2 linked regions of the Ovis aries genome follow. Each later gene encodes a partner of the first gene's protein in a complex. Links are inferred from orthologs where the notes say so. Each region holds a gene or a part of one and is shown on either strand. Other genes may lie near its edges. The genes, in order: ZBTB8OS and RTRAF.

Region 1 (14,762 bases):
TTCTCATTGTGACACAGCCCTTGAATGGTTAATACTGAAAACTGCAAGGAAATCAGGGAGGGACAATCAATGGAAGGGAGTCCTGTAGAAGGCACCTAGCTTGGCGTAAAGGGACAGGCACAGCTTTTGAACATAGCGCAACCCAGATATGGAAGAAAGAAAACTAAAAAGCGGAAGAGAGAATGCAGGAGGAAAGACGGAAGGGAGTGGCTTTGTTTTCCCTTCTGAATTAACAGACTGGAATGGCACTGGCTGCCAGAGTTGTCCTTAGGCTGGTCACACCCCCTAACCAAGCACTGTTTTTTTTTTCTGTTCTGGACTTCCAAAAAAAATAAGTGAAAAAGTAAGGGGACTGTTAGCATTTAGGCTTGTCCTCTTAACAGTACTAGCCCTCACTTAGCATTACTGTGTCAGGCACTCTCTTGAGCTTTATGTTATCAGTTCAGTTCAGTTCAGTCGCTCAGTCGTGTCCGACTCTTTGCGACCCCATGAACCGCAGCACGCAAGGCCTCCCTGTCCCTCACCAACCCCCGGGGTTGACTCAAACTCATGTCCATTGAGTTGGAGATGCCATCCAGCCATCTCATCCTCTGTCATCCCCTTCTCCTCCTGCCTTCAATCTTTCCCAGCATCAAGGTCTTTTCAAAAGAGTCAGTTCTTCTTTATGTGTATACATTCATTTAATTCTCTCAACAACCCTTCAATAGTTAGTTTGGAAAGTAAAGCACACAGAGTTTCACCAACATGCCCCAAGTTAGACAGTGAGTGGAGGAACCAGCACTTCCACCCCTGTGATTTGGCTCCAGTTTGTGCTGTTAACCACTGCACTCCCAAAATCCTCAAAATAAAAATGTTACCACAGCAGTGTTTAAATTCCAGAGCTCCAAGTATAATTCCAAAATGACTCCCCTTCTTTTTTTTTAATAAATTTTTAATTGGTTTTGGCATACATTGACATGAATCCGCCACGGGTGTATGAGTTCCCAAACATGAAACACCCTTCTCTTCTTTTACAGAATAAGGTTCTTTTAAAAAAATATTTCTTTTTGGCTGTGCTGGGTCTTCACTGCTGAGCAGAATTTTCTCTAGTTGTGGGAAGGAGGGCTGCTCATAAGTTCTGAGTAAGTTTTTTCCAGAAGGAGCTTTCAGAGAGTATCTTTTCCAATTTCCTGATTTTTTAGATGAAGAAACTCAATTCTCAGTCTGTCTGGAATTTCCCAAACCTTCTGAAGCTCAGACTTCAGAAAGGGGCAGAATTCTAGTCTCTAAGGGGCACTTCCCCAACTTCCAGCAGGGTATAAACTATTTTCCCACCCTTTCTTCTTGAACATTCTTTGCCAGAGCCCAAGTGGTAATAGCAAGGTGGAGAGAGAACTGACAAGAGTGGTTGCAGGCACATGTAACCACTTAGCCAAGGCATCAGTGAGAAAAAGTCATCATATCACTACTGTTGCTTTCCTGAAGTAGCTGCCGTCATGTGACACACCACTGTACCATGACAATGGCTGACTAGTAGCAGACCTGCTGCTGCTGCTAAGTCGCTTCAGTCATGCCCGACTCTGTGCGACCCCAGAGACAGCAGCCTGCCAGGCTCCCCCGCCGTCCCTGAGATTCTCCAGGTAAGAACACTGGAGTGGGTTGCCATTTCCTTCTCCAATGCATGAAAGTGAAAAATGAAAGTGAAGTCGCTCAGTCGTGTCCGACTCTAGCGACCCCATGGACTGCAGCTCACCAGGCTCCTCCATCCATGGGATTTCCCAGGCAAGAGTACTGGAGTGGGGTGCCATTGCCTTCTCCAGTAGCAGACCTAGATGGTGTGATTTGGACCTTTTAGGCTAAACGACTGTTCCAGTCGTTCCACGTATCTTCTCTCCCTCAGCTCAGTTGTTTAAAATATATTACTAGATCCCAGACATTTAAAATTGGAAAGAAACTGAGGAATCACTAATGCACACCTTTCATACATAGATGAGGAAATAGGTTCACGGTCAAGCAGGAGAGCAAAGGCTAGGAATCGAAGATTGTGACCTACAGTTCCAGCGTTCTTATAGACATGCTCAAGCAGCTGATCTGTGGTCTCTGCTAAAAGTGACGGCGCTCTGAGAGACTTAGTCCACTGACCACTGAGTAGTAATGTGTATTATGTGTCATCTAGACTAGTGAACACCCACTCCAGCGTTCTTGCCTGGAGAATCCCAAGGACAGAGGAGCCTGGTTGCACAGAGTCGGACACGACTGAAGCGACTTAGCAGCAGCGGCAGCAGACTAGTGAACATGAAACAAGTAAAACTGAATAAGCCTACAAATCTTTTGTTGCTGTTGTTTAGTCGCTAAGTCATGTCCGACCCTTTTGTGACCTCATGGGCTGTAGCCCGCCAGACTCCTCTGGGATTTCCCAGGCAAGAATATTGGAGTGGGTTGCCATTTCCTTCTCCAGGGGATCTTCCCGACCTAGGGATCAAACCCAAATTTCCTGTTTCACCTGCACTGGCAGGCAACTTTTTTTTTAACCACTGAGCCAACTGGGAAGCCCAAATCTTTAAAGCTAAGTAAAGAGGTGTAAGTTCAAAGATCCCTGAACCTTGAGTAGTTAGGAAGGCAGCATGGAAAAGTGACTTGAGCTAGAATGAACTAAGATCCCGAAAGCCACTTGGTGAGGCCGATCAATCAATCAATGAACATACAAAATGTGCCTGAGACTAAGAAAGGTGAAGGAGTGCTACCTCAGCGATCCTTGAAGAGCTAACTATCCAAACCATAGGCTCTTGTCCTTGTCTTTGTGCTAAATCCCCGGAGAAAAATAAGGAGGTGCTCAGACAGAACACGTAGAAAGCTCACAGACCATCTTGTAGATCAAGTTCATGCAATGATATTTGACACCACCCAGTGGTAATCTTTTCTCACTAATGTGAATAAATAGCAACTTCCCTGGTGGCTCAGACGGTAAAGCATCTGTCTACAATGCGGGAGACCCGGGTTCAATCCCTGGGTTGGGAAGATCCCCTGGAGAAGGAAATGGCAATCCACTCCAGGACTATTGCCTGGAAAATCCCACGGACAGAGGAGCCCGGTAGGCTACAGTCCATGGGGTCGCGAAGAGTCGGACACGACTGAGCGCCTTCACTTTCACTTTACAAGGAAGACTACCTCAATCCATGAACAGAGAATGGAATAATACTGCAAGTCAAATGAAAGCAGTTTGATTTTTTTCAAAGTTATCTACTTCGAAAAGTTCAGATCATTTTAAAGCTGTTTTCCTGGCCTCTTATCGTCTTAGAAATGAAGAGCTTAAGGTAATTTTTAAAAACCAAAGAAACTTGAAAAAAAATTCTCCTTTTCTCTAACTGTATAAATATACTGGCTTTAATATAAAATTGTATGTTAGGAAGAAGGGCCCATTTGTATATGCGTCAGGTTTTATCTTACGGGAAAAAGTGTCAGTATATCAGTGCTAAAAAAAAAGTGAAAGTAAATCAGGACTGTTTCTAGAAAAGCCTTCCAATTGTTCAAATATAATTATTTCATCTAAGAAAACCAACTGGAGTACAGGATTGGGCTCTGTCCCATAGCAATCCAAAACACAACCTGTTTTAATGTACATATAGAAAATATATGTGTTAACCACTTTGGAAAAAAAGCAAAATACTGGTTGTAGGATTTCTCAAATTACATTTTCTCCAAGGTGCATTCAGTAAGAGTACACGGGCTTCAGAGTCTCTCAGGCTGCTCTTACATCAATGATCGTCCTTGGGACCAGGCTGGAGGACTTGTGCATTCCGTTGGAAAGGTGTAAGGCACCTGCTGCTACAAAGGGGAATTAATGAAGGAGAAGCCATGCTTGCCACTTAGAGAATTATTTAAAATTTGATTATTTGGGTAACAAAGACCAAGGTTGTACCTTGATTTTTCATTTCTGAAAGTCACATTTTAAGTCAACAATTTCTGTTCTGCAAAACTCCATATATAAATTCTCCATGTAGAGTTTATATCATGGTATCTTGTCAAAAGGAAGAGAAAAAAACAGTTCTTCATAGGAATCTCTCTCTCTCTCTCTTTTGTCATCTTAAATGTCAATGATCACAAAAACTTCTGGCTTCTCTTCATTATAGACCTGCATGGCTGAGTACGTTATTGCTTTGACTTCAGTTCCCTAAAGTTGGGGTTAAAAAAAAAAAGACATTGAAATCAGAACCATTAACTCTAGTAACAATTGGCAGAAAGTAAAACTTTTAATGTTATTCTAAAAAAGTCATATGAAACAATCAGTTATCAAATGATATAGTATTATCCACTGAACCAGTAAAAATGAGAGACACGTGTACACAGGAAAAAGCACTGACCTGACTTAGGAGATGGAGCATACTATAATCCTGGCTTGTTTGCACCTGGACCAGAAGTTGTCTGACCCCTCTGGGCACCAGCCTTTACATTTACCAAATGGGTTGACTCCAAGAACACAAAGCTTTTTTATTGTTTGGGTCAGGGCTCCTTCTTAAGGCTTCCTCTTCTGTACTGTCTAGACTGGGCCCTGGGAACTCAGCCTATTCCCTTCTCTACAGACAAATGCCTACTGTTATCCAACATCTCTATTTAGATATCTAATAGGCATCTCAAACATAATACATTCAAAAGAAAATGCTACTGTAATTTATATTATAAAAATAACTTGTTTTTAATCCACATGCTCCACCTCTACTGGTTTCTGTCCTTAAGTTTCTCTGCCCCGAGGCTCTCTCACGAAGCTTCATTTTATTACACTGAAGAAATGCTGCTGCAGCTGCTGGAAGCTACTACATGATTTCTCAGTCAACTCCAATGAATTTAAGTCTTCTTGGCCTAAACACAGGGGTCAGCAAACTACAAATTAAAGGTCAGATTGGCCTCCCACCTATTTTTGTACAGCTCCACACATAAATGTAAGCCCCAATTGTAAGAATAGCTTTTATATTTCTAAATGGTAGTCGGGGGAGGGGAATGAAAAAAAACACTTTACTGGAACACATTCACATTCATTCATTTAGGTGTTGTCCATGGCTGTTTAGTGCTATATATGAGTAGAATAGTTGCTCTTCTATCGTTATCAGTCCACAAAGCACAAAACATTAGGAAAAAAACACCCTACCCCTATTCAAACAGATTTGACTAGTACACACTGAAGCCAAATACACTGGCAAATACTGAATCTGGAGAAGCACAAAAGAGAACACCTTTTCTTAGGCTTTCTAGTATCCAAAACACTGGATGTTTAGAGAACATCCTATCCAACATCTTCATTACAGGGAAAGATATGAAAGCTCAAAAAGGGAAAGGGACTCTTCAGCCCCAAAACACTCTGTAACAAACCTGACCCTATAGCCCAAGGCAGACTCCTAATCTTCCAAATCAGAAATTCCAGGGTTTTAACATAACATGTCCAGACAGGTCATATTAGTCTGGGAAAAATTTAGGAGTTTATACCAACTTATGAGAACTAGTAAGTTAGCTGTAACATATACTGACTTTTTTACGGTAAGGTCAAATAAACTATTTTTAATGGCTGGATTTTAAAACATACCTGAGGGTGCTTGGACAATGAGAATTCTTCTCCCCACCTTGAGAAGAAAGAGTAAAACATGATTAAGATTTCCAGGATTTAACATTTATTCTCTCTTTCTACGTTTTAAGATAAGCCTTATAAATGTGGTTAAGATACAGACTTCCCAGGTGGCTCAGTGTTAAAGAAACCGGCTGCCAATGCAGGTGATACAGATGTGGGTTCAATCCCTCGGTCAGAAAGATCCCTGGAGGACAAAATGGCAACCCATCCCAGTAATTTTACAAGGAAAATTCCATGGATAGAGGAGCCTGGCAGGCTGCAGACCATGGGATCACAAAGAATCGGACACAACTGAGCACACACGCATAAGATACTAGAAAGCCTAAAGGGATGAAGGGAGAAGGGAGCCATCAATTTCAGTTTGATGGTCAGCAGATACAGCTACTGAACTTGTACGATATCCTTTTCAACAAGGTTGATCATGGCATAGTACAGTGTACATAGGTAGACTCTCAATAACATTGTTTAATGAATACTGGTTCATAATAGAGGAGCATGTTCAAAATTTTCACTGTACTCAGGGCTATAGAACTGATTAAATAATATCTTCCATTGGAGAAAGCAGGTCTGAGCACCATAAAGGCAAAATACAAGATTCCATAATACGATCTGAACTTAAGTTTGTATTTTATGACTTTTCAAAAAATGGCCATGGTATGTACCTAGTAGGCCCTAGAAGGGTACTCAGTCTCCTAGAACTTGAGATGAGTATCCTCTCTCCCTTCAACACTAAAGTAGCTGAAGTTCACAGTAGTAAAAGCAGTAGCAGTATCAGAAAGAGCATAGTTTTAAAACTCTGTTCAACTATTTATTAGTTAATTACCCTTGGACAACTCTGTTTACTTATTCATTAAAAAAAAAAGGAGTAGGAGATAATAAAAGATCTCACTTTACAAAAGAAACGTAAAAAATTCAACATAAAATGGAAAAGATAAGTTTTATATAAAAGTAACCTAAAAGATCATTAGATGACTAAAGAAACTTGGAAAACACTAAATCCAATCAAAGTGCCCTAATCAAGCGTTTGCAAACTCAGGAAGGAAAAGTATAACTTGTTAATAGAAGGAACTGGTTTGAATGGAGTCTAGGTGTGAGGATCTATAAGAAAGGCTACATCAGCATTTCTCATCACCAAGCGAGGTTGTATGCAAATATCTGCGCCATCCATCAATGATATATTTTTTGTGTGTTAAAAATCAACAAATTGGGAATTCTGTTTACCAATTCAAATCACCTGTGTCCTGACAAGTTTCTGGTCCTCCAAAGCTGAGGTGAACCCTTGCTCCTAGGTGGCTCACCAAGCTTAACCTGCAAAGCCCTACAGGGATGCAACTGGTCTTCTGATTTAATGTTTCTATTGTCTTCCTGCTCACTGAGTACACTGAAGACTGTAACTTAACATTTTACATGACCTGTAACTTAAAAGGTTTTCAAAACTTACCCAATTGACCGTATTTTGAAATTTCTTTGGTCGATATTAAGTACTTTGACTTCCTAAAGAAGAAAAAAGTTTTCTTTTAATTTTAATAGAAGTTCATAATAGACCAGCTATTAAAACATGTCAAGGTTATCACTTTTCCAAGATAATAGCATACAACTTCTCTGAAGCAAAGAAAATTACAATGTTAACAACAAACTATGTATTTTAAGAAAATAAGGCTTTTTCTTACCCATTCAAGGGAGGTATTCTTGAAAATGTACAATTTAAAGTATAAGTCATGAGAATTTTTCTGTAAGATACATAGTGGAGGATGACCTAGGATTTCAATCATTCTGGGGTTTTTTTCAGCTCTATGGATTTAGAGGTGATAAAACTTTCCACCTATTTTTATATAATATTATAGACTCTTGAACTCTGTAGGACAAATGACCCAGTTAGAAGAATATATGTAGTGGAGCTGGTAAGGGAGTAAATGGAGGAATTATGGAGCAAGGAAGGCCAGGTGTGTTAGTAACAATAAGGTTGCAGAGGTGTTCCCTTCTGGAGGCTGATGGCAAAAAGTAACCTCCATCTGGCTTTTCCCTTTTCACATTAAGGAAACCAAAAGCACCATTTTTTTTCTGGCTGTACCACACAGCTTGCAGGATCTCAGTTCCCCAGCTAGGCGGCCATCAGCAGTGAGAGTCCTAACCAGCAGACCGCCAGGGAATTCCCTAAAAGCACCAATGGCTCAGGGGTAAAGAATAGCCTGCAATGCTGGAGACAGGTTTGATCCCTGGGTCAGGAAGATCCCCTGAAAAAGGAAATGGCAACCCACTCCAGTACTCTTGCCTGGGAAATCCCATGGACAGAAGAGCCTGGTAGGCTACTTTTTCGAGAAAAAAGTCAAACACCACTGAACAATTAAACAACAATAAGAACATATCAGACCTGCTAAATATCAAATGGGCAAAAGGAACTTATGGACGAACATTTAAAAAGCTCAAACTTGAGAGACATAAAACATGCCGACAGAGAAGAGAGTATGTGCATTCTTCTGACTCAAGATAACAGTGAGTGAGTGGCAAGTGTATGAGATCTAAATGCGAGACGCACATACATAGGCAAACTCCAGTTAACCTAGGGCCTATGGTCACCATAATTTCTGCACGTCATCATCTTGCATATCTGAATGGTTTCATTTTACATCATATATTCTATTTTAAATAGAATGTTCTGTTTTAAATCACTAGTTTTACTCTAAAATATGGACTCAAAATCCATTTGTTCAGTAAAAAATAAAAACTTGCTTACCCGGGGTATGAAGAATTCATCAGCACTGAATTTATAAAGCCACTCATCCAGAAAGTGAAACAGAAGAGACTGTAAGTCATCGCCTACACAGGGTCAGAAAGAACCATAAAGAACGGTATTTAATAATTCTCATCTCTGAAAACTTGTTTGAATTTTACAGTGCAATAAATTTCTTAGGCTCCTTGAAAGAACAAGCTCATAATCAACTTTGTTGTACCTCCTGTAAGTGTATACTGAAATTATATAGCATCTGAACACTTGCATAGCAATTTCTTCCTTGTGAACAAATTGATTACCTTGGGTTTCTACTTCTATTGTTTGCAGGGGCTCCACAGTCCCAGTATCTGTCATGTAACCAAACATGGCCATTGCACATTGTTCAAAAGCTTCCTCCAGAGTGTCTCCCCAAGCATGTAACCTAAAGAAAGGCATTCGTGCCTTGTGTAATATGATTCACTGCAAGACAGAAAACTCGACAGCAAAGTCTAAGTAAAATCAACACTGTAAATGCAAAAGCAAAGGCCTCAATCAATTTAATGACACTGAAACCAGGTGCTTTTGAACCATCATTTTCATGTTCTAAAGAAAACAAAACAGAGGAGAAAAACTAAAACTAGGGACTGCAAGATTAAAAGATTAGTCTTCCTGTGTTAAGCACATGATTTCAAAGGCATAAACTCCAGCTCTACTCACTGGACATCGGCTGTATGATCCAAATCTGAGGGAGAGAGGAAAAAACAATAATAAGTAACTAGACTTGACTTGCAAATCACAAGAAAATGACTCTAGATTATTATTAAGAACATCATTCTTGAAGAACAAGAAAATGTAGGTTGACCATCCACCTTTCACTAACCATTTACACAAAAGTCATTGTTAAGGTTTATTTTTAAAAATTTCTAAGCATTTACAGTTACTATTCTATTAATATTAAATGAATGAACTAATATTAAGTAACAGAATAGTTATATAACATTAGCATATTGATGATACAGGGTTATTTCTTTTAAAGCCAAGATTTATATTTAAATGAATGATGAGAATTCCCTGGCAGTCCAGTAGTTATTAGGCCTCCACACACAGGTTCAATCTCTGGTTGAGGAACTAAGATCACACATGCCCTGCAGCGAGGCCAAAAAACCTAAAGACTAACTAACTAAATAAATGAATGATAGTTTCTGGAAGGCAGCAAGGCCATGGTCTTCTAGGTGATCTCCAAAGTGTGTACTACAGTACACACACTTCTTGTGTGTGTGTGCCCAGTCATGTCAGACTCTGCAATCCCATGGACTGTAGCCTACCAGGCTCCTCTGTCCATGGAACTTTCCAGGCAAGAATACTGGAGTGGGTTGCCATTTCCTACTTCACTAATACATCATAGTTTTTCAATAAACAAATGCCTTTCCTGCTATTAGTTACATTCCCCAACAAAACAAATCAATATCTTTCCTAATATCTACTTGTGTGTGTGTTAGTCCTCAGTCATGTCTGACTCTTTCAGTTCAGTTCAGTCGCTCAGTCGTGTCCAATTCTTTGTGACCCCATGAACTGCAGCATGCCAGGCCTCCCTGTCTATCACCAGCTCCCAGAGTTTACTCGAACCCATGTCCATTGAGTCAGTGATACCATCCAACCATCTCATCGTCTGTCGTCCCCTTCTCCTCCTGCCCTCAATCTTTCTCAGCATCAGGGTCTTTTCAAATGAATCAGCTCTTCGGATCAGGTGGCCAAAGTATTGGAGTTTCAGCTTCAGCATCAGTCCTTCCAATGAACACCCAGGACTGATCTCCTTTAGGATGGACTGGTTGCATCTCCTTGCAGTCCAAGGGACTCTCAAGAGCCTTCTCCAACACCACAGTTCAAAAGCATCAATTCTTTGGTGCTCAGCCCTCTTTATAGTTCAACTCTCACATCCATACACGACCACTGGAAAAACCATAGCCTTGACTAGACGGACCTTTGTTGGCAAAATAATGTCTCTGCCTTTTAATATGCTGTCTAGGTTGGTCATAACTTTCCTTCCAAGGAGCAAGTGTCTTTTAATTTCATGGCTGCAATCACCATCTCCAGTGATTTTGGAGCCCAGAAAATTAAAGTCAGCTATTGTTTCCATTGTTTCCCCATCTATTTCCCATGAAGTGACGGGACCAGATGCCATGATTTTAGTCTGACTCTGCAACCCCATAAACTGTAGCCTGCCAGGCTCCTCTGTTCATGAATGGCCAAAATTCTAGAAACTACGTCATCAAAGATATAAAATTCCAGATTTCCCGTTCTCACCTTTTCATGAACAGCTAGCCAAATCCCAGACAAAACAGGCTTTTATTTTTAACAAGAGTCAAGTTTTATCTTTGTTAATTTCTTGCATTTGAAGGAATCCTCATGATATCCTTGGTCAGTTAAATAGTTTTAAAAAGTAAACTCCACAGTACGTATTGCAAGCTTTTTCCTGATAGTCTCACAGCAACGCCAGGAAGTAACAACTGCGGCTGTGTAATCTGTGGATCTGTTATTTTAGTATTTCAGAGTCTATTCTTCACTCTTAACCCTGACTCCCATCTATTCCTCCTACTTAAGATCATAGGATATTCAAGCTAGAATGAAACCTCAGAGATCATTTAACAGAAATCCTCCAATTACAAGAAGAAACCTGAAATCCTGAGAGACTGTATAACTTGTTTAGGACCATACTGCTGATGAGAGTTGGGACTAGAACTGAGATTTTCTGACTCCCAGTTTAGTGCCCTTTACATCATAACACATCTTCTTCTGGTAACACTCAGGGTTTAAGCTCACCTCTGATTTACTCAAAATACTACTGAAGCCTCAGTACATTTTAGACACTAATGGGCTCAATGACCAGCAGAGATGACAAACAAGTTAAAGGAAAGCAACATTTTAATGCTAGAGAAATGAAAGTATGTGGCCACAAAAGGACATGGCAGAATGTTCACAGCAACTTTACTCCTCCAAATTAAAAACCCAATGTTTGTGAAGAGAATGAATAAATAAACTGAGGATTACTATGCCACACTGCTCAGCAATAAAACAGCATGAACTAGTGATACTGCATTAACAAGAGTCTCAAAAACATCAAGTGAAAGCTGCAGAACTCTCACACACATATCTCCATCCAAACTCCCTGCACTAAGAGACCTGACCAACTTTAGCGTGGTTTCTAGCAGCTTAAGCCTGTGTACCTAGGATCATCATGGCCCCACCGTTACAATGCCTGCCTGAGAAAGCTATACACTGTAGGAGAATTTATCGTTTGTTCCGAAACAACCCCTGACAATAGGTCCTTGACCTCCCTTTCTCAGAGCATTCACTAAAAAGGGCTTACGACTGTGATACTTATCTCTTACAACTCAGAAGTATCTTTCCCATTCCTCTGAAATGTAATCATCAGGAAGAACTTCCAGGCTCCGTGGGAGAGAATTCTAACTTGGTAACTGCCAGCTAGCAAACACTGCTGCTCCAATGACATTTACACTGACCATGCTTTTGTAACTTTTCATTTCTAGTCTCTACTGAAACCCCTGCTCTCCCCCATCTCTCATTCTTCTTTTAAAAAGTCCAATCTCCTCTGCACAAATCCAAAGGGATCTCAGCTCTTTCCCCTGCTGTCCATAATTACTGAATAAAGTCCACTCACCACTTCAATGTCTAACATTTATCAGTGATACTCAGTGAAGACGCCAGATATAAAAGAATGAGTACTATGTGATTCCATTTATACAAAACTCTAAAACAAACAAAAGTAAACTATGGTATATGAAATCACAGGGTGTGAGGAAAGAGGCACACTCATACAACGCTACTGAGAGTATAAATTGGTGACACTTCAACAGACAGTGAGTTCACAATAATTACTGAAGTTTAAAACGCAGGTATCAAAAAGAGTATATATAACTGAATCACTTGACTGTACAGCAGAAATTAACCAACACTGTACATCACCTAGGGGCTTTCCACCTGGTATACTGGTAAAGAATCCATCTGCCAGTGCAGGAGACCCAAGAGATGTGGGTTTGATCCCTGGGTCAGGAAGGTCCCCTGGAGGAGGAAATGGTAACCCACTCCAGTATTCTTGCCTGGAGAATCCCATGGACAGAGGAGCCTAGTGGGCTACATTCCATGGTGTTACAGAATCGGACATGATTCAGCAACTGAGCAAAGCACACACAGTACATCAACTATACTCCAATTTTTAAAAATACTGATAAAATGCAGATACCCTTTACCAAAGTAATGTAACTTTTGGAAATTTATTCTACAGATGCACATGTGCCAAACAATGGATGTACAGGTATTCACTGCTGCATTATTTCTAATAGCAAACGAGTACAAATGTAAATGTCCACCAACTAGAAACTGAGTAAATTAAAGTACATTTTTGCATGTACACATATGAAAATGTTATGACTGGCTGATCTAGAAAGCAAGACCAAGGGGCCTGGGATTAGAGCTGACTTTTCACTGCATACCTGTCATACTTTTTGAATTCTGAATCAAAAGAGAAAAATGATGGGAATACCAGACCACCTTACCTGCCTCCTGAGAAATCTGTATGGAGGTCAAGAAGCAATGGTTAGAATCAGACATGGAACAACAGACTGGTTCAAAATTGGGAGAGGAGTACTTCAAGGCTATACACTGTCACCCTGCTTATTTAACTTATATGCAGAGTACATCATGAGAAATGCCAGGCTGGATGAAGCACAAGCTGGAATTAAGATTGCTGGGAGAAATATCAATAACCTCAGACACCACCCTATGGCAGAAAGAGAAGAGGAACTAAAGAGCCTCTTGAGGAAAGTGAAAGAGTGAAAAAGTTGGCTTAAAACTCAACATTCAAAAAACAAAGATCACAGCACCCTATCCCATCTCTTCATGGCAACTAGATGGGGAAACAATGGAAACAATGACAGACTTTATTTTCTTGGGCTCCAAAATTACTGGAGATGGTGACTACAGCCACGAAATTAAAAGACACTTGCTCCTTAGAAGAAAAGCTATGACAAACCTAGACAGCTTATTAAAAAGCAGAGACATTACTTTGCCAACAAAGGTCCGTCTAGTCAAGGCTATGGTTTTTCCAGTGGTCATATATGGATGTGAGTTGAACTATAAAGAAAGCTGAGCATCGAAGAATTGATGCTTTTGAACTGCGGTGTTGGAGAAGACTCTTGAGAGTCCCTTGGACTGCAAGGAGTTCCAACCAGCCAATCCTAAAGGAAATCAGTCCTGAATGTTCATTGGAAGGGCTGATGCTGAAACTCCAATACTTTGACTAAACTGACTCATTTGAAAAGATCCTGATGCTAGGAAAGATTGAAGGCAGGAGGAGAAGGGGATGACAGAGGATGAGATGGTTGGATGACATTACCAACTTGATTGACATGAGTTTGAGCAAGTTCTGGGAGTTGTTGATGGACAGGGAAGCCTGGTGTGCTGCAGTCCATGAGGCTGCAGAGTTGGAACTGAGTGAGTGACTGAATTGATTGAAGAGAAAAATGAGCTAGGGAGACACGCAGGGTCTAGAAAGTACAGAGCCTAGTATGCTATGATAAATAGTTGTACTCTATACAGAGGACTTTCCCAGGTGGCTCAGTGATAAGAGAATCTGCTTACCAAGCAGGAGACGGTTTTCCAAGACCCGGGCTGGGAAGATCCCCTGGAGAAGGAAATGTCAACCCACTCCAGTATTTTCCCTTGGGAAACCCATGGACAAAGGAGCCTGATGGGCTCTAGTCCATGGGGTCAAAAAAGTTGGACAGGACTTAGCAACTAAACACCAGCATACAGAGAACAATGTGAAATTAATTAAAGAACTTTAGAGGGGAAATAAGAGCCAAATTTGTGCTCCCAAACCACATCCACCTTTAGGGCTAACAATTTAACGTTTATATAGACTAACTTTAGAATCTGCACTATATTTTCACATTTATTATTATCTCATTTTGCCCTCACAGGAAGGAACAGAATGCAAAAAGAGGTTATGTGATTTGCCTAAAGTCACTAAGCTACAAATGGCAAACCAGGTCCTTTTACTAACACAGGATACAAGTAAGACATTAGTAGTCCTCTACTTATAACTTTCTTATCCTCTACCCTAGCCACATTCTAACTACAGGACTGTTGGAGATAGATGAGGATGGGGGTGGTTACACAAAACACTTCAAAACATGGCTCTCTTCACAATGAATACACCAGTAAAACTCCCTCAAAGGTCTGTGTAGACAAAGCTATAGCTTTTCCAGCAGTCTTGTATGGATGTGGGACTCCCCTGCTGGCTCAGACGGTAAAGAACCCGCCTGCAATGTGAGAGACCTGGGTTTGATCTGGGATGGGAAGATCCCCTGGAGGAGGGCATGGCAACCCAGTCCAGAATTCTTGCCTGGAGAATCCCCATGGACAGAGGAACGCGGT
Region 2 (15,558 bases), on another chromosome or scaffold:
TAAAACATGAAATAATTTACTTATTTATAATCATATAGTTCATCTTCCCTTGCCAGATGGCAGGCTCTCAGAGGGCAGAGGTTTTTGTGTGAAAGTGCCTAAAAGACTTCCGGGCATGCAGGCAAGATTGAAGAAGTTTGTTGAATAATTAAACAGATGGATTAATGACCTATCAACCCCTTGGCCAACTATTAGATTGGGGTTCAGGTCATTTGATTTAAAAAAAATAGTCAATTTCTCCTTCTTGATGTACATAAAGGACTTAATTTTCAGAAATGGAATTGTCCAAGATTTACTTCCTATTGGACACTATAGGCCAAAGGACTCCTTCAAATGCAGGGGGGAAGAAAAGACAAATTTTTGTAAATAAAAAAGTTGAATGCTTATAATCTTCTATACTTCTTTTCCAGGATTAGTTTTAGCCCCTGCTCGAGTCTGGTGGTTCCTGCAGCATTCTGTGTGTCTGAATCCTCTTCCAACCTTCTCACACCTGGGGGTGATGACCAGGGAGTTTCAGGTGGCTGATAACTTTGGGCCTGAAATAGAGAGACATGGTCAGGAGCAAAAAACTTAGTGTTTTGCACTAAGGAGTCAATTCCAAAAAGCAAAATTTAAAAGCTGCTTATCCCCACTCTTTAAAGAAATGCACTATCTGTAGTTGCATTAAGCATTCCTTTATTATTTTCCCTTTGTTTATGGGTTCTGGTCATTTTTCTTAATTTTTGGCTGGTACCTCATTAATTATACAATTAGTATAAACCACAGTGTGTGACTAGGGCCACAGCTCTGATCAAATTTTGTTTGAGGCAAAACACTTGGAGGTGATTTTCCTGATTTATTCAGTAAACATCTTATTTGGAAAATATAGATTTTTTCACAGTTCCTCCTTAAAGCTGTATTCTGACCTGATAGCACGCTTTGCACTTCTCAAAATGTATCACTTTATAACTGTAGATCATAAGCACTTATTTACATGCATATTTTTGCTTTTATACTTGAACTTCCATGTGTAGAGTCTTCTCTTGTGTTGTTGGAAGAGGGTGTTTGCTATGACCAGTGCATTTTCTTGGCAAAACTCTATTAGTCTTTGCCCTGCTTCATTCCGCATTCCAAGGCCAAATTTGCCTGTTACTCCAGGTGTTTCTTGACTTCCTACTTTTGCATTCCAGTCCCCTATAATGAAAAGGACATCTTTTTTGGGTGTTAGTTCTAAAAGGTCTTGTAGGTCTTCATAAAACTGTTCAACTTCAGTTTCTTCAGTGTTACCGGTTGGGGCATAGACTTGGATAACTGTGATATTGAATGGTTTGCCTTGGAGACGAACAGAGATCATTCTGTCGTTTTTGAGACTGCATCCAAGTACTGCATTTCAGACTCTTTTGTTGACCATGATGGCTACTCCATTTCTTCTGAGGGATTCCTGCCCGCAGTAGTAGATATAATGGTCACCTGAGTTAAATTCACCCATTCCAGTCCATTTGAGTTCACTGATTCCTAGAATGTCGATGTTCACCCTTTCCATCTCTTGTTTGACCACTTCCAATTTGCCTTGATTCATGGACCTGACATTCCAGGTTCCTATGCAATATTGCTCTTTACAGCATCGGATCTTGCTTCTATCACTAGTCACATCCACAACTGGGTATTGTTTTGGCTTTGGCTCCATCCCTTCATTCTTTCTGGAGTTATTTCTCCACTGATCTCCAGTAGCATATTGGGTACCTAATGACCTGGGGAGTTCCTCTTTTGGTATCCTATCATTTTGCCTTTTCATACTGTTCATAGGGTTCTCAAGGCAAGAATACTGAAGTGGCTTGTCATTCCCTTCTCCAGTGGACCACATTCTGTCAACACCGAAATCAGATTGATTATATTCTTTGCAGTCAAAGATGGAGAAGCTCTATACAGTCAACAAAAACAAGACCAGGAGCTGACTGTGGCTCAGATCATGAACTCCTTATTACCAAATTCAGACTCAAATTGAAGAAAGTAGGGAAAACCGCTAAACCATTCAGGTATGACCTAAATCAAATCCCTTATGATTATACAGTGGAAATGAGGAATAGATTTAAGGGCCTAGATCTGATAGATAGAGTGCCTGGTGAACTATGGAATGAGGTTCGTGACATTGTACAGGAGACAGGGATCAAGACCATCCCCATGGAAAAGAAATGCAAAAAAACAAAATGGCTGTCTGGGGAGCCCTTACAAATAGCTGTGAAAAGAAGAGAGGTGAAAAGCAAAGGAGAAAAGCAAAGATATAAGCATCTAAATGCAGAGTTCCAAAGAATAGCAAGAAGAGATAAGAAAGCCTTCTTCAGTGATCAATGCAAAGACATAGAGGAGAACAACAGAATGGGAAAGACTAGAGATCTCTTCAAGGAAATTAGAGATCCCAAGGGAACATTTCATGCAAAGATGGGCTCGATAAAGACAGAAATGGTATGGACCTTACAAAAGCAGAAGATATTAAGAAGAGGTGGCAAGAATACACAGAAGAACTGTACAAAAAAGATCTTCACGACCCAGACAATCATGATGATGTGATCACTAATCTAGAGCCAGACATCTTGAAAAGTGAAGTCAAGTGGGCCTTAGAAAGCATCACTACAAACAAAGCTAGTGGAGGTGATGGAATTCCAGTTGAGCTGTTTCAAATCCTGAAAGATGATGCTGTGAAAGTGCTGCACTCAATATGCCAGCAAATTTGGAAAACTCAGCAGTGGCCACAGGACTGGAAAAGATCAGTTTTCATTCCAATCCCAAAGAAAGGCAATGCCAAGGAATGCTCAAACTACTGCACAATTGCACTCATCTCACATGCTAGTAAAGTAATGCTCAAAATTCTCCAAGGCAGGCTTCAGCAATACGTGAACCGTGAACTCTCTGATGTTCAAGCTGGTTTTAGAAAAGGCAGAGGAACCAGAGATCAAATTGCCAACATCCGCTGGATCATGGAAAAAGCAAGAGAGTTCCAGAAAAACATCTATTTCTGCTTTATTGACTATGCCAAAGCCTTTGACTGTGTGGATCACAATAAACTGTGGAAAATTCTGAAAGAGAAGGGAATACCAGACCACCTAACCTGCCTCTTAAGAAACCTCTATGCAGGTCAGGAAACAACAGTTAGAACTGGACATGGAACAACAGACTGGTTCCAAATAGGAAAAGGAGTACGTCAAGGCTGTATATTGTCACCCTGCTTATTTAACTTATATGCAGAGTACATCATGAGAAACTCTGGACTGGAAGAAACACAAGCTGGGATCAAGATTGCCGGGAGAAATATCAATAACCTCACATATGCAGATGACACCACTCTTATGGCAGAAAGTGAAGAGGAGCTAAAAAGCCTCTTGATGAAAGTGAAAGAGGAGAGTGAAGAAGTTGGCTTAAAGCATTCAGAAAATGAAGATCATGGCATCCGGTCCCGTCACTTCATGGGAAATAGATGGGAAACAGTGGAAACAGTGTCAGACTTTATTTTTTTGGGCTCCAAAATCACTGCAGATGGTGACTGCAGCCATGAAATTAAAAGACACTTACTCCTTGGAAGAAAAGTTATGACCAACCTAGATAGCATATTCAAAAGCAGAGACATTACTTTGCCAACAAAGGTCCATCTAGTCAAGGCTATGGTTTTTCCAGTGGTCATGTATGGATGTGAGAGTTGGACTCTGAAGAAGGCTGAGCGCCGAAGAATTGATGCTTTTGAACTGTGGTGTTGGAGAAGACTCTTGAGAGTCCCTTGGACTGCAAGGAGATCAACCCTGGGGTTTCTTTGGAAGGAATAATGATAAAGCTGAAGCTCCAGTACTTTGGCTACCTCACGCGAAGAGTTGACTCATTGGAAAAGACTCTGATGCTGGGAGGGATTGGGGGCAGGAGGAGAAGGGGACGACAGAGGATGAGATGGCTGGATGGCATCACGGACTCGATGGACGTGAGTCTGAGTGAACTCTGGGAGAATGTGATGGACAGGGAGGCCTGGCATGCTGCGATTCACGGGGTCGCAAAGAGTTGGACATGACTGAGTGATTGAACTGAACTGAACTGAACTTGAACTTCCTGAAAATATCTAACTCATTTGTAGGCCCCACAAATGCTAACACAGTGTTTAATTATAATCTGTTGAAATGAAATTTATATAATTGGCTTACCCCCCAAGAACTTCAATAGTTCCCAGTAGCATGGCATGAAAGATCCTTCTTGCTCAGGTCCTTGCCTCTGTCCAAGTCTCATCAGCTGTCATTCTGTCCTACCCTCCAGCTCCCATAAGTTCTAGCCCCCCTGGGCCATGCCTTGCCTTTGTATATCCTCTTCCCTCAAGACAAGTTACCCTTTTGACTGCATGGTGAACTTACCACCTTCAAGTCATAATTTAAGCTTGTTTGTCTGTTTATTGCTTTTCTTCCCTCTAGGGCTTATAAACTTCATAAAAGTAGAGGCTTGGTCTCTCTGGCTCACTGTTGTCTGTCCAGTATCTGAAAGCAGATGGGGACTGAATCAGGAAGGATCTTAAATATGATAAGGAGTTTTGATGATTGCTAGAAGGCAATGAGGACCCACTGAAAGATACTAAGCATTAAACTGTTATGGACAGGTTTTTGTTTTAGGAGGTTTTTATTTTACAAAATCACTATCATTGCTGTGTGGGGGAGTGGGCTGGAGAAGGCAAAACTGGCTCTAAGAAATCAGATAATTAGAGCAAGCAAAAATTATGAATCCCTGATTTGAGGTAGCAACAGTGAGGTTGGGAAGAGGTGAGGAATTTGAGAGGCAGAACAGCAGGAATCAAGGAGCTACTGGATGTTGTAACTGCAGTCAGAGGGAGTAAAGGGTAAGTCCAGGTTTCTGGCTTCAAAATTTCGTGGTTGCTAGACATGTCAGGAACTATCACGTAGTATTACAGTTGTATGTTTATCTATGGACCACTCCTAACAAGTCATGTGTATGCATACTCAGTCGCTTCAGTCGTGTCCGACTCTTTGCGACCCTACAGACTGTAGCCCGCCAGTGCATGGAATTTTCCAGGCAAGAATACTGGAGTGGGTTGCCATTTTCTTCTTCAGGGGATCTTCCCAACCCAGGGATCAAACCCAGGTCTCTTGCATTGGCAGGCGGGTTCTTCTACCACTAGCGCCACCTGGGAAGCCGAAGGAGTCATAAAGTGGTGGTTTGAGTGAGTGAAGTCACTCAGTCGTGTCCGACTCTTTGTGACCCAGTGGTCTGTAGCCTACCAGGCTCCTCCATCCATGGGATTCTCCAGGCAAGAATACTGGAGTGGGTTGCCATTTCCTTCTCCAGGGGATCTTCCCGACCCAGGAATCGAAGCCAGGTCTCCCACATTGCAGGCAGATTCTTTCCCGACTGAGCCAGGAGGGAAGGCCCAGTCATAAACGGACCTTGCTAAAAGTCTTTGTATTAGCCTTGTTAGAAGAGCACCTATTATGTAGGAGGCATATAATTAAATGAATGAATGAATGAATACACTGAAAATACTAAACAGTTTGTATGGTCCAATAAGAGGTATGGCCCATAGCAGAAATTCTAAGGATACTGTTCTTTGCGTGCTGTTATCAAGACCGCGAAGAAAGCAAGCGGTAACTATGTTTCTCAGTTGCTCTCTGCCTATTGTACAACTAGAAAGCTGACAATAAAGTTTATTTAAGCGTCGACGTGCCCCGACGTGGCCCCGCCTCCCCAGCCAGAGCCGCGATTGGTGGGCATTGTCCAGAGGCTGCCGTTCCTAAGCCACGATTGGCTAAGGCCGCCGTCATTTCGGAGCTCCCGGTGCCCGCCCGCCTTCTCGTCGCGTCACCCGTGTCTGCGCCTCCTGCTTCTCCTTGCCTTGCCTCGCCTCGCCTCTCCCGGCCGCATCCCGGGGGACCGGAGCGAGCAGCGGGGACCATGTTCCGACGCAAGTTGACGGCCCTTGACTACCACAACCCTGCCGGCTTCAACTGCAAAGGTGAGGCGGCGGCCCCGGGCCCGCAGCGCGTCCGTGACCGGCCGGCCGCCGCTTTCTCAGCGCCGGCTCCTGGGCTCTCCACCCGGACCGTCCGCGGCCTTGTCTCCCCGGCGCCCCTCTCCTCTTGGCCCCGAATACCTCTGCTTTCTCCCATCCTTCCTTCTCCGCTACCCACTCTTGCCTCGGCATCGCCACTTTCTGCACTTGCTAAACTCCAGACACCACCCCCACAGCCCTCGCCCGCGCCCTCAGCACTCTAGAAGGAAAGTCTTCGCTTTTTAACTTAGCCCTTCAGCCCCGTGTTTCACGGGTGATTGGGCGATACCCTGAGCACCTGCTGGGGTCGGCACAGTGCTGGAATTCGAAGAGAAAAACCGAGTAACTTGAAGACTCGTTCAGGGAACTAAGGAGGGGAGGGATTAGGAATAAGGGCAGTTAGAACCCATCCAGTAGTTTGAGCCCAAGACAAAAATGAAGTCCAAGACAGTGTTGGGGTGAGCGCGTGTATTAACGAGCTAATTACAGTGTGGGGGTTGTGGGGGGGGGGAGTTAATAGATGAGCGGGGCGGTTGAATTGTAAATACAAAGGTGTTTGGGATTTCACAGCTTGAAACTGTAGAAAGTATTAAGATTGCTACCCACTGCTACTCACCTGTCGCCCACGACTACTTATTTTCTTCCAGAATTCTTGGCCTGTGGTAGATTAAGTTTGAAAGGGATCACGTAACACCTGGGATGTTAAGACCATTGTGTATTCTCAAGACTTGGGGAAGCTGGAATTTGAACTCAAGCTTGAACTTGAAAATTGAAGATGATTTCCAAGCAGGATGACAGTGTTTTGTCATCTCCTGTAGAAGCATGTCATCTTACAGAATCTTGTTTTTCTGCTTTGCCTTTTATTTAACAAAAAAGGTTCAGTAGGAATAGAGCTTAGATATGGTTTTGAAACTTTGAGCCTCAACTTTTTCACTGGTAAAATGGGGATATTACTTACCTCAAAAGCATATGGAAGGATTAAATGAAACCACATGCACACTATTTCATGAATGTGTTTAATGTCCTTAATAGCAAATGACAGTGATAGTCGGTATCCTTGTTGTGATCGCCATTTAATTTCTTGTACTTTATTGTTGCTATTAATTTAACCTTGCACAGTCCATTCTCCCCCTTTTCCTCACAGGAACTGAAATAATAACTGACACTTAAGTAGCAAAATTGTGTGCCAGGCACTGTTTTTATTGTTATTTTATTAAATCTTTCATAACAAGCCTATGAGGTAAGTCCCCATTTTGTAACTCAAGAATCTGAGGCACAGAAAATTTAATTAGCCCAGGTTCACACAACCACTAAATTTCTGGAGCCAGAATTTGAATTTGGGCCAGAATATGAACAGAAGTTAATTCAAAGTCTGTACATTCAACTCCTACTTCAAGCAGCTCAAGTAATTTATGATTTTGCAGTTTAAAAAAAAAATTCCACAAGACTGTTTGTGGAGAAGGAAGTGTTTTACCTAGTGCTTCTCATGGGCTTCCCTTGTGGCTCAGCTGGGAAGGAATCTGCTTACAATGCGGGGAACCCTGGGTTCGATCCTTGGGTTGGGAAGATCTCCTGGAAAAGGGAAAGGCTACCTCTTCCAGTATTCTGACCTGGAGAATTCCGTGGACTGTATATAGTTCATGGGGAGGCAAAGAGTCAGACACGACTGAGCAGCTTTCACTTTCTTGTGATTTCTATGGTGTTTTTATTACAGATGAAACAGAATTTAGAAACTTCATTGTTTGGCTTGAAGACCAGAAAATCAGACACTATAAAATTGAAGACAGAGGTAACTTAAGAAACATCCACAGCAGTGACTGGCCCAAGTTCTTTGAACAGGTAATGAATTAGAAAGTAAAATATACCAAGAGCTTGTCTATGAAGACAGCTTTTAAAATAATATAATTTTTCTTTTAAAATAATATAGCTGAATAAAATGGATGTTTTATTTGCAGGGCAGGAAGAGAGATGCAGACTTAAAAAACACTTGAATACAGCAGGGGAAAGAGAGGGTGGGACAGACTGGAAGATTAGGATTGATGTATATACACTGCCATGTGTAAAGTAGATACTGGGAAGTCAGTGTATATAGTGCAGGGAGCTCAGCTCGGTGCTCTGTGATGACCTAGATGGGGGATGAGTGGAATGGGGGGTCGGGTAGGAGGGAGGTCTAAGAGGGAGGAGATACACACACATACACAGGCATAAGTAAGTCATTGACAGCAGAAACTAACACAACATTGTAAAGCAATTATACTCCAAACAATAATAATAATAATAATCAGTGTTAGAAAAGCTTGATTTCAGGGATGGAATTTTTTTTTTTTAAGCATATTCTCTCTTCCTACCAAGCATTCAGTATTAGATAGAAATAGTATGGTGAACCATCAGGCATGAGGGCGGGGGCAGGGGTATAGGGGATAAAGAGTTTGATCTTGATGGAACTAGGGAGCTCTCACAGTTTTAGGTGATATGACTGGACTAGTGTTGCCACTCCTCAGCTTTCCCAACCAATCCCTGGCTTCTCGAAACTGTCAGCATTAAGGTAATGTATCTGGAGAGCAGGCCTTTATCCCCAGTACTTAGATAAGTGCCTGACATTCAACAGAAGGATCTGTTTCTTTCATGAAAATATATATTTATAAGTGTGTATTTGTATACATATATGTTCTGAATATAAATGAGTGATTGATATGTCAGTATTCATTTCTGCATTTTCCCTATAGCAAAATTTATTCAAATCTTCTAGGGCCCTGTACCTGACTAGCAGGCTGCCCATTGAAAACAAGCTTTATAAACTATTAACTAATAAAAGTAATGGCACAGTTAGACACTCAAAAGAAATAGTGTAGTCCAAAAAACAAAGAGACTTCTTAATTAAACAGTGATACATATTATATAAATAGTAAAAATGGCCAAAATAAGATTTTTTACATTACATTAAAATGTAGCAGAAATAGTATTATATTAAAATAAGACATTATTAACATGATTGTAAACTAAGGTTCTCTTGTGTTTTCTTATATTTAATATACACAGTTCTCCTTTGTTGTGTACTATAGAAATAATACTTTTTAAAAAATGGTATTATCTTATTTTTGTGGGTGGAATAACTTTTTCATTGACCTAGTTTAATTTTAGTAACATTTTTGCAGAAAACAGTTTTTTTCAAATTAGAATAAAAATTACATTTTACAGTGTCATTATATTAAACATTTTATCAGCTCTGTTACTTTGATGAGATCTTTTCCTTTAAGAATTTGAAAATGATGATGTATGGCAAAACCAATACATACTGTAAAGTAATAACCTCCAATTAAAATAAATAAATTTATATTTTTTAAAAAAATTTGAAAATGATTTAATTTTTCATTGACTGGAGCAGAGTGTTTAGGTAGCTAACTTTCTCCTTTTGTGGACTAGGGAACTATGTAAGTTACATACTATCTCTGTGACAGTGAGTAAGTTTATTAACCTTTCTGTGGCTCTAGATTTTTATCAATAAATGGGGATAACAGTGGTATCTTAGCTCAGGAGTGGCATATTGTTAATGAAATATACCTTCAGCCTGTCACAGAGGTGCCTGGCCCATCGCAAGTGCTATATGTTTGTTGATATTCCTGCTTCTGCTACTAATACTGGTACCACTAGATCATTTTCCTTTACCCTTCAAAACTATATTTTGAAATTTTTGACAGACTTGTTAAGACTTTGAAATACATTATTAGAATTTTATATTTGCTTTTATCACATTTTACTTACTGGTCTACTTGTGTACAAGACGATACAGAGTTCCACATGTAGGAGGGTGTTGAAGAATAATAAACTTTCCAATGAAAAAGACCCAGAAATGACAGTAAAGTAGTATGACCTAAAGATAAATATATTGGAACTCTCTTTGGAATGATGATGTCATTGCTTAAAGCATATTTAGAACTTCTTTTGGAATTACTTTTAGATCAAGAGACTTATTTTGAATATTGGCAGTTTTTTTATGCTTTGAAGGTGGGTTTGCTTTTTGTATCATGACTAAATCTTGTGAATGAGGTGCCTTTTTTTTTTTTATAGAAGCAGGTGAATAACATTTTTGGTTAGAAAATAAGTTATGGTTAAAAAGTGCTGATTCATTAGGTATCCACCAAAGGATTTCCAGAAGGTTTGAGTTATAGCATTGTTGTGGGATTAGATTTTAAGCTCCTGAGATATTTACTTTAAGGACATGCTCATTTGAATATATTGCTTCTGATGTTTATTCAAAACACCAGTGTGTCACATAGCTTACTCTGTTGGACGCGTTCCAAAATATGAAAGCTAAGGTTTAGATAATAATTGGGTTTTGCACTCTCAGACATAAATCACAGCAGGATCCTCTATGATCCACCTCCCAGAATTCTGGAAATAAAAGCAAAAATAAACAAATGGGATCTAATTAAAATCGAAAGCTTCTGCACAACAAAGGAAAATATAAGCAAGGTGAAAAAACAGCCTTCTGAATGGGAGAAAATAATAGCAAATGAAGCAACTGACAAACAACTAATCTCAAAAATATACAAGCAACTTATGCAGCTCAACTCCAGAAAAATAAACGACCCAATCAAAAAATGGGCCAAAGAACTAAATAGACATTTCTCCAAAGAAGACATACGGATGGCTAACAAACACATGAAAAGATGCTCAACATCACTCATTATTAGAGAAATGCAAATCAAAACCATAATGAGGTGCCACTTCACACCAGTCAGAATGGCTGCGATCCAAAAATCTGCAAGCAATAAATGCTGGAGAGGGTGTGGAGAAAAGGGAACCCTCCTACACTGTTGGTGGGAATGCAAACTAGTACAGCCACTATGGAGAACAGTGTGGAGATTCCTTAAAAAATTGCAAATAGAACTACCTTATGACCCAGCAATCCCACTTCTGGGCATACACACCGAGGAAACCAGAATTGAAAGAGACACATGTACCCCAATGTTCATCGCAGCACTGTTTATAATAGCCAGCACATGGAAACAACCTAGATGTCCATCAGCAGATGAATGGATAAGAAAGCTGTGGTACATATACACAATGGAGTATTACTCAGCCGTTAAAAAGAATTCATTTGAATCAGTTCTGATGAGATGGATGAAACTGGAGCCGATTATACAGAGTGAAGTAAGCCAGAAAGAAAAACACCAATACAGTATACTAACACATATATATGGAATTTAGGAAGATGGCAATGACGACCCTGTATGCAAGACAGGGAAAGAGACACAGATGTGTATAACGGACTTTTGGACTCAGAGGGAGAGGGAGAGGGTGGGATGATTTGGGAGAATGACATTCTAACATGTATACTATCATGTGAATTGAATCGCCAGTCTATGTCTGACGCAGGATGCAGCATGCTTGGGGCTGGTGCATGGGGATGACCCAGAAAGATGTTATGGGGAGGGAGGTGGGAGGGGGGTTCATGTTTGGGAATGCATGTAAGAATTAAAGATTTTAAAATTTAAAAAATAAAAACTAAAAAAAAAAAAAAAAATTGGGTTTTGTTTTTTGATACATATTTTTATTTAACTACTCTGTGTATTGAGACCTAGAATCATATGGTTTAGATTCAGGTCCCTGATTTCAGTTGTGTAACTGTCAGGAAGTGTTGACCTATAGGCTTTGGTTTTCTCATCTACAAAATGAAGTTATCGTAGATCAGTGATACCCTGTCTGCAATCTGCAAAAGTAAAACTTTCATAAACCATGATGGAAGTACTTAATTTTTTTCCTAAGTAGTATATGCTTAAATGGGTTATATAATTGCATCAAAGGTTTAGTAATATAAATGTTGCAAGAAATTCTTAAGAGATACAAACTCAGGTCTCTTAATTCTACCGTGTTTTATTTTGTGACTTTATAGTAACAATGAAGCAATTTTCTTTTTCCTTCACAGTATCTCAGAGATGTTAACTGTCCTTTCAAGATTCAAGATCGACAGGAAGCAATTGACTGGCTTCTTGGCTTAGCTGTTAGACTTGAGTATGGAGATAATGGTATGTTTTGTGGGGAATATATTGTTTCAGAGAGAAAGGGTGGGAAAGGGGGTTAAAAATGTAGGGAACTTGCCCGTTTGTCTTAGATTGTTTTACCTTTGATTCATTTTAAGTTTTGTACATCCTCATCTCACTTTGCAGTATCTGATTAAAATTTTACTTTTTGTTTGTAGTCATTCTGGATTTTCTCTTTTAGAATTTGAAGGTGATGTCCTCTCACAAAGTCACATCACTTCAGTTAATTTGCCGGCTCGGCACAGTCTGGACCTTAGCCTTCAAGTTCACTTTTTGCTACTGTCCCAGAATTAATAGGATTTCAAGTCTTGGTTGCAGCAGCCAGTTTCACTAGAGACTGAAATATACATCTAATGCAGATATGCACAATAAGCCAAAATATATTTATTATTCATGTTTAACATTATTTTATTACAGATACTGATATCATTGGAAGATTTTGAATATTAATACTTATTGTGAAAATAGTTTTCCAATAAACCATTTTCTCTCATTAGGCCATTTCATTTTGAAAGGCCTGTTAACATCTAAATGTAAGATCCGATTATCTTATTTTATCTCCATCTTCTGCATTTATGTTGTTCTCTTTCTTGCGACTATCAGTTCCAGTCTTAATCATTTGCTTTTGAAGCCTTTTTAATGCCTTTTGTTGTTTAGTCTTTAAGTCATGTCTGACTCTTTGGGAATCCATGGACTGTAGCCTACCAGGCTCCTCTGTCCATGGAATTTCCTAGGCAAGAATCCTGGAGTAGGTTGCGAGAAATGCTCCAGATTTGGTTTCAGCGTCTTTGGCCCTCTTTTCTTCCCATCCATCTTTTCCTTTGTCTGCTGTATCTTTCATTCTGCATCTCCACTGCTGTCACCCTAATTCTAGCTCTTGTCCCTTTCTCCTGAGATTATCGTAACACCTTTCATAGTAGTCTCCCATCTGTGTCACCCTCTGTTTTCATCCACATAGCCCCCAGCAAGCTAATTTTTTAAACATAAATGTTTTAGGATGCTACACTTTGTCTCCAAAGAATAGTTCCTTTTATATGTTCACAAACACCATTGCTTTCCCATTTTCTACAGAAGGAATTCCAGGCTCCTTAGCATGATATTCAAAGCCTTTAAACTAGTATTCATATACTTGCCACCCCAGCCAAACTGCAGTAATGCTGTTTCCTCTTTCCATCTCCTTTTTTCCCCCTTCTTTCTTTGCTTTCACTTTTCCTTTGGCTAATATGCCATTTCAGTCTGTCTGTCCTTGTAAGATCCAGCTCAAATGCCAGCTAGCAGCAATGATACTTACTTCTTAACTTTCATAACTTTTACCTCAATACCTTTTTAGATCATTTTCACTTTCCATTTTGCTCGTCTTACTGGCCTCACTAAATTGTAAGCTGATACTCAGCCTTGTTTTCTACATGGTACCTCTGTGAATTTCGTGTTGCTGCTGTAACATATTGCCATGAACTCAGTGATTTAAAAGACAGTATCTTACAGTTTTGGAGGTCAGAAGTCCAACACCTGTATCAGGACTAAAGTCAGTTTGTCGACAGGGCTGGTTTGTTTTGGAGGCTCTAGGGGAGGATTCATTTCTTTGTCTTTTCCGTCTTCCGGAGGCTGCCTGCTTTCTGCTCCCTTTGTCTTCGAGTCTAGCTGCATAGCAAGTTCTAATCTCTGTAATTCTGCTTTCATTGTCACCTCTTCTCTGACCTTCCTGCCTCCCTCTTCTAAGGATGCTGTGATTTCATCGTGCCCACCTAGATAATCCAGGGTAATCCGCCACCCCCAGTTTCAAGGTCCTTAATTCAGTCACACCCACACAGTCCTTTCTGCCACGTAAGATACCATATTCATAACTTCTAGGGATTGCAGTATGGCCGTCTTTTGTGGGGAGGGAGCAGTCATGATTCTCTCTGCCACAGTGCCTGGTGTAATTTCTTGTGTACAATAGATGTGCTTATCAATTTTAATAAATCCTTGGTAAGTGCAGTATATTAACGTAAGTACAGGTATTTCTCAGTGACAGCATGGTTTCTTTTAATGTGTAAAAAAGCTGAGTTTGTATCTGAAACACTGCCCCTTATCAGTAGGGGGCACTGTTGCTCTCTTATGGCTTTACGTTGGTGAGTTCATTCTTCTTGACTTTTAAGTTATTTAAAATTTTTATTTTTGATAAATTATGAATTTTTATTATTTATGCCATAATATTTTGTAAAGCCTTTAGCTTGCTTGTCAATTAAGGTGGTTAAAAGCTAACTTAAGTTCTTCTAACTTTTTTTGATAATTTAAAATTTACAGATATGTTGCAGGAATAATAAAAAGAATTATTACATACTCAAATTCTGCAGGCGTTATTAACATTTTACTTCATTTGCCTTATCCTTTTCTGTGTATTCACATACTCCTAATTTTTTTCTAAACCATCTGACACTAAATTGTAGATGATTTCTCTTTTAAGTACTTAAATGCACATTTCCTAAAAGAAAAAGTCATTGTCTTACATAGCTGCAGTATGCTTATCATAATCAGATTAACTTTGATTCTCTGCTGTTGTCTGTAGGTATTACTCACATTTCAGTGTTTGTCTCAGTAATGTTCTCTACGGCAAAAACAAGCGAATAAAAACCTCCAGAGCAATCCTGGATGGTGTGTTTTGTTCATTCTCGTTCATCTCTTGTGTTCATTCTCCTGCACTCCGGAACGATTTACTCAGTCTTTGTGCTTTAGGACAGTGACGTTTATTTTGTAGAATGTCCTTCAGTTTGGGTGTGTCTGATGGTTCCTCGTGGTTGGGTTGAGAGTTTGTAGTTTTATTAAGAATAATACAAGTTATGTTGCATTCTTGTTAAGTACCTCATATTAGGATGCATGTGTTAGTGATATACCTAAATGTTAGTCATTTTGCTGATCACTTCGGTAAACTTTCTTCAGTGTAAAGTTACTGTTTTCCCCTTTGCGATAAATATGTGTCTTATTTTTTTCTTTTTGACTGCACCTCACAGGATGCAAGACCTTGGTTCATCAAACCCCATGCCCTCTGCGGTGGAAGACCAGAGGCCTAGTCACTGAAATTCCTTAGATACATATCTTGGAAAAGAGATACTTTGAGATGATTTCTCTGTGCTTTTCTTCCTTAAACCTTAGCTTTAGTATCCATTTGATGATTCTGGCCTGAGTCAATTATTATTGATTATGATGGCCAGAAAGTGTTTTTCTAATTCCATCATTCTCCATTTTTTTTGGCTTTCCACTGAAAGGCCTTTAAGAGCAGTTTCCTTCTTACCAATGGATGTTTTTATTCAAATCAGTATAGATATGTGAATTCTTATTTTACTCAGTGGGTTTTAATCCTTATTTGTCATCATGTATTTAAATGTTTGTTCCAGATTTGGCTAGTGGGGACTCCTTTCAGCTAATTTCTATCTGACTTAAATTTTAATGCTTTTATTTTCCCTTTTTTTTTTTTTAAGCAAATCATAAAAGCACTGTAGCCAAAGATGTCTTTGGGGGCATTAAATT

What was found.
Region 2: ZBTB8OS (region 1) and RTRAF share a complex: the UniProt entries of both Homo sapiens proteins name them as parts of the tRNA-splicing ligase complex. The link is inferred for Ovis aries from reciprocal best matches to the Homo sapiens genes ZBTB8OS and RTRAF.

What each region holds. Positions count from the first base shown.
Region 1 is NC_056055.1:234,986,016-235,000,777, reverse strand, and holds the end of ZBTB8OS (protein archease), read right to left. Parts: intron 9,049-14,762; coding exon 9,024-9,048; intron 8,749-9,023; coding exon 8,627-8,748; intron 8,414-8,626; coding exon 8,331-8,413; intron 7,091-8,330; coding exon 7,038-7,090; intron 5,592-7,037; coding exon 5,555-5,591; intron 4,151-5,554; coding exon 4,064-4,150; 3' UTR 3,335-4,063; downstream 1-3,334. UniProt on the Homo sapiens protein: Component of the tRNA-splicing ligase complex required to facilitate the enzymatic turnover of catalytic subunit RTCB. Together with DDX1, acts by facilitating the guanylylation of RTCB, a key intermediate step in tRNA ligation.
Region 2 is NC_056060.1:43,078,479-43,094,036, forward strand, and holds the start of RTRAF (RNA transcription, translation and transport factor protein), read left to right. Parts: upstream 1-5,805; 5' UTR 5,806-5,910; coding exon 5,911-5,971; intron 5,972-7,721; coding exon 7,722-7,846; intron 7,847-11,936; coding exon 11,937-12,036; intron 12,037-15,558. UniProt on the Homo sapiens protein: RNA-binding protein involved in modulation of mRNA transcription by Polymerase II. Component of the tRNA-splicing ligase complex and is required for tRNA ligation.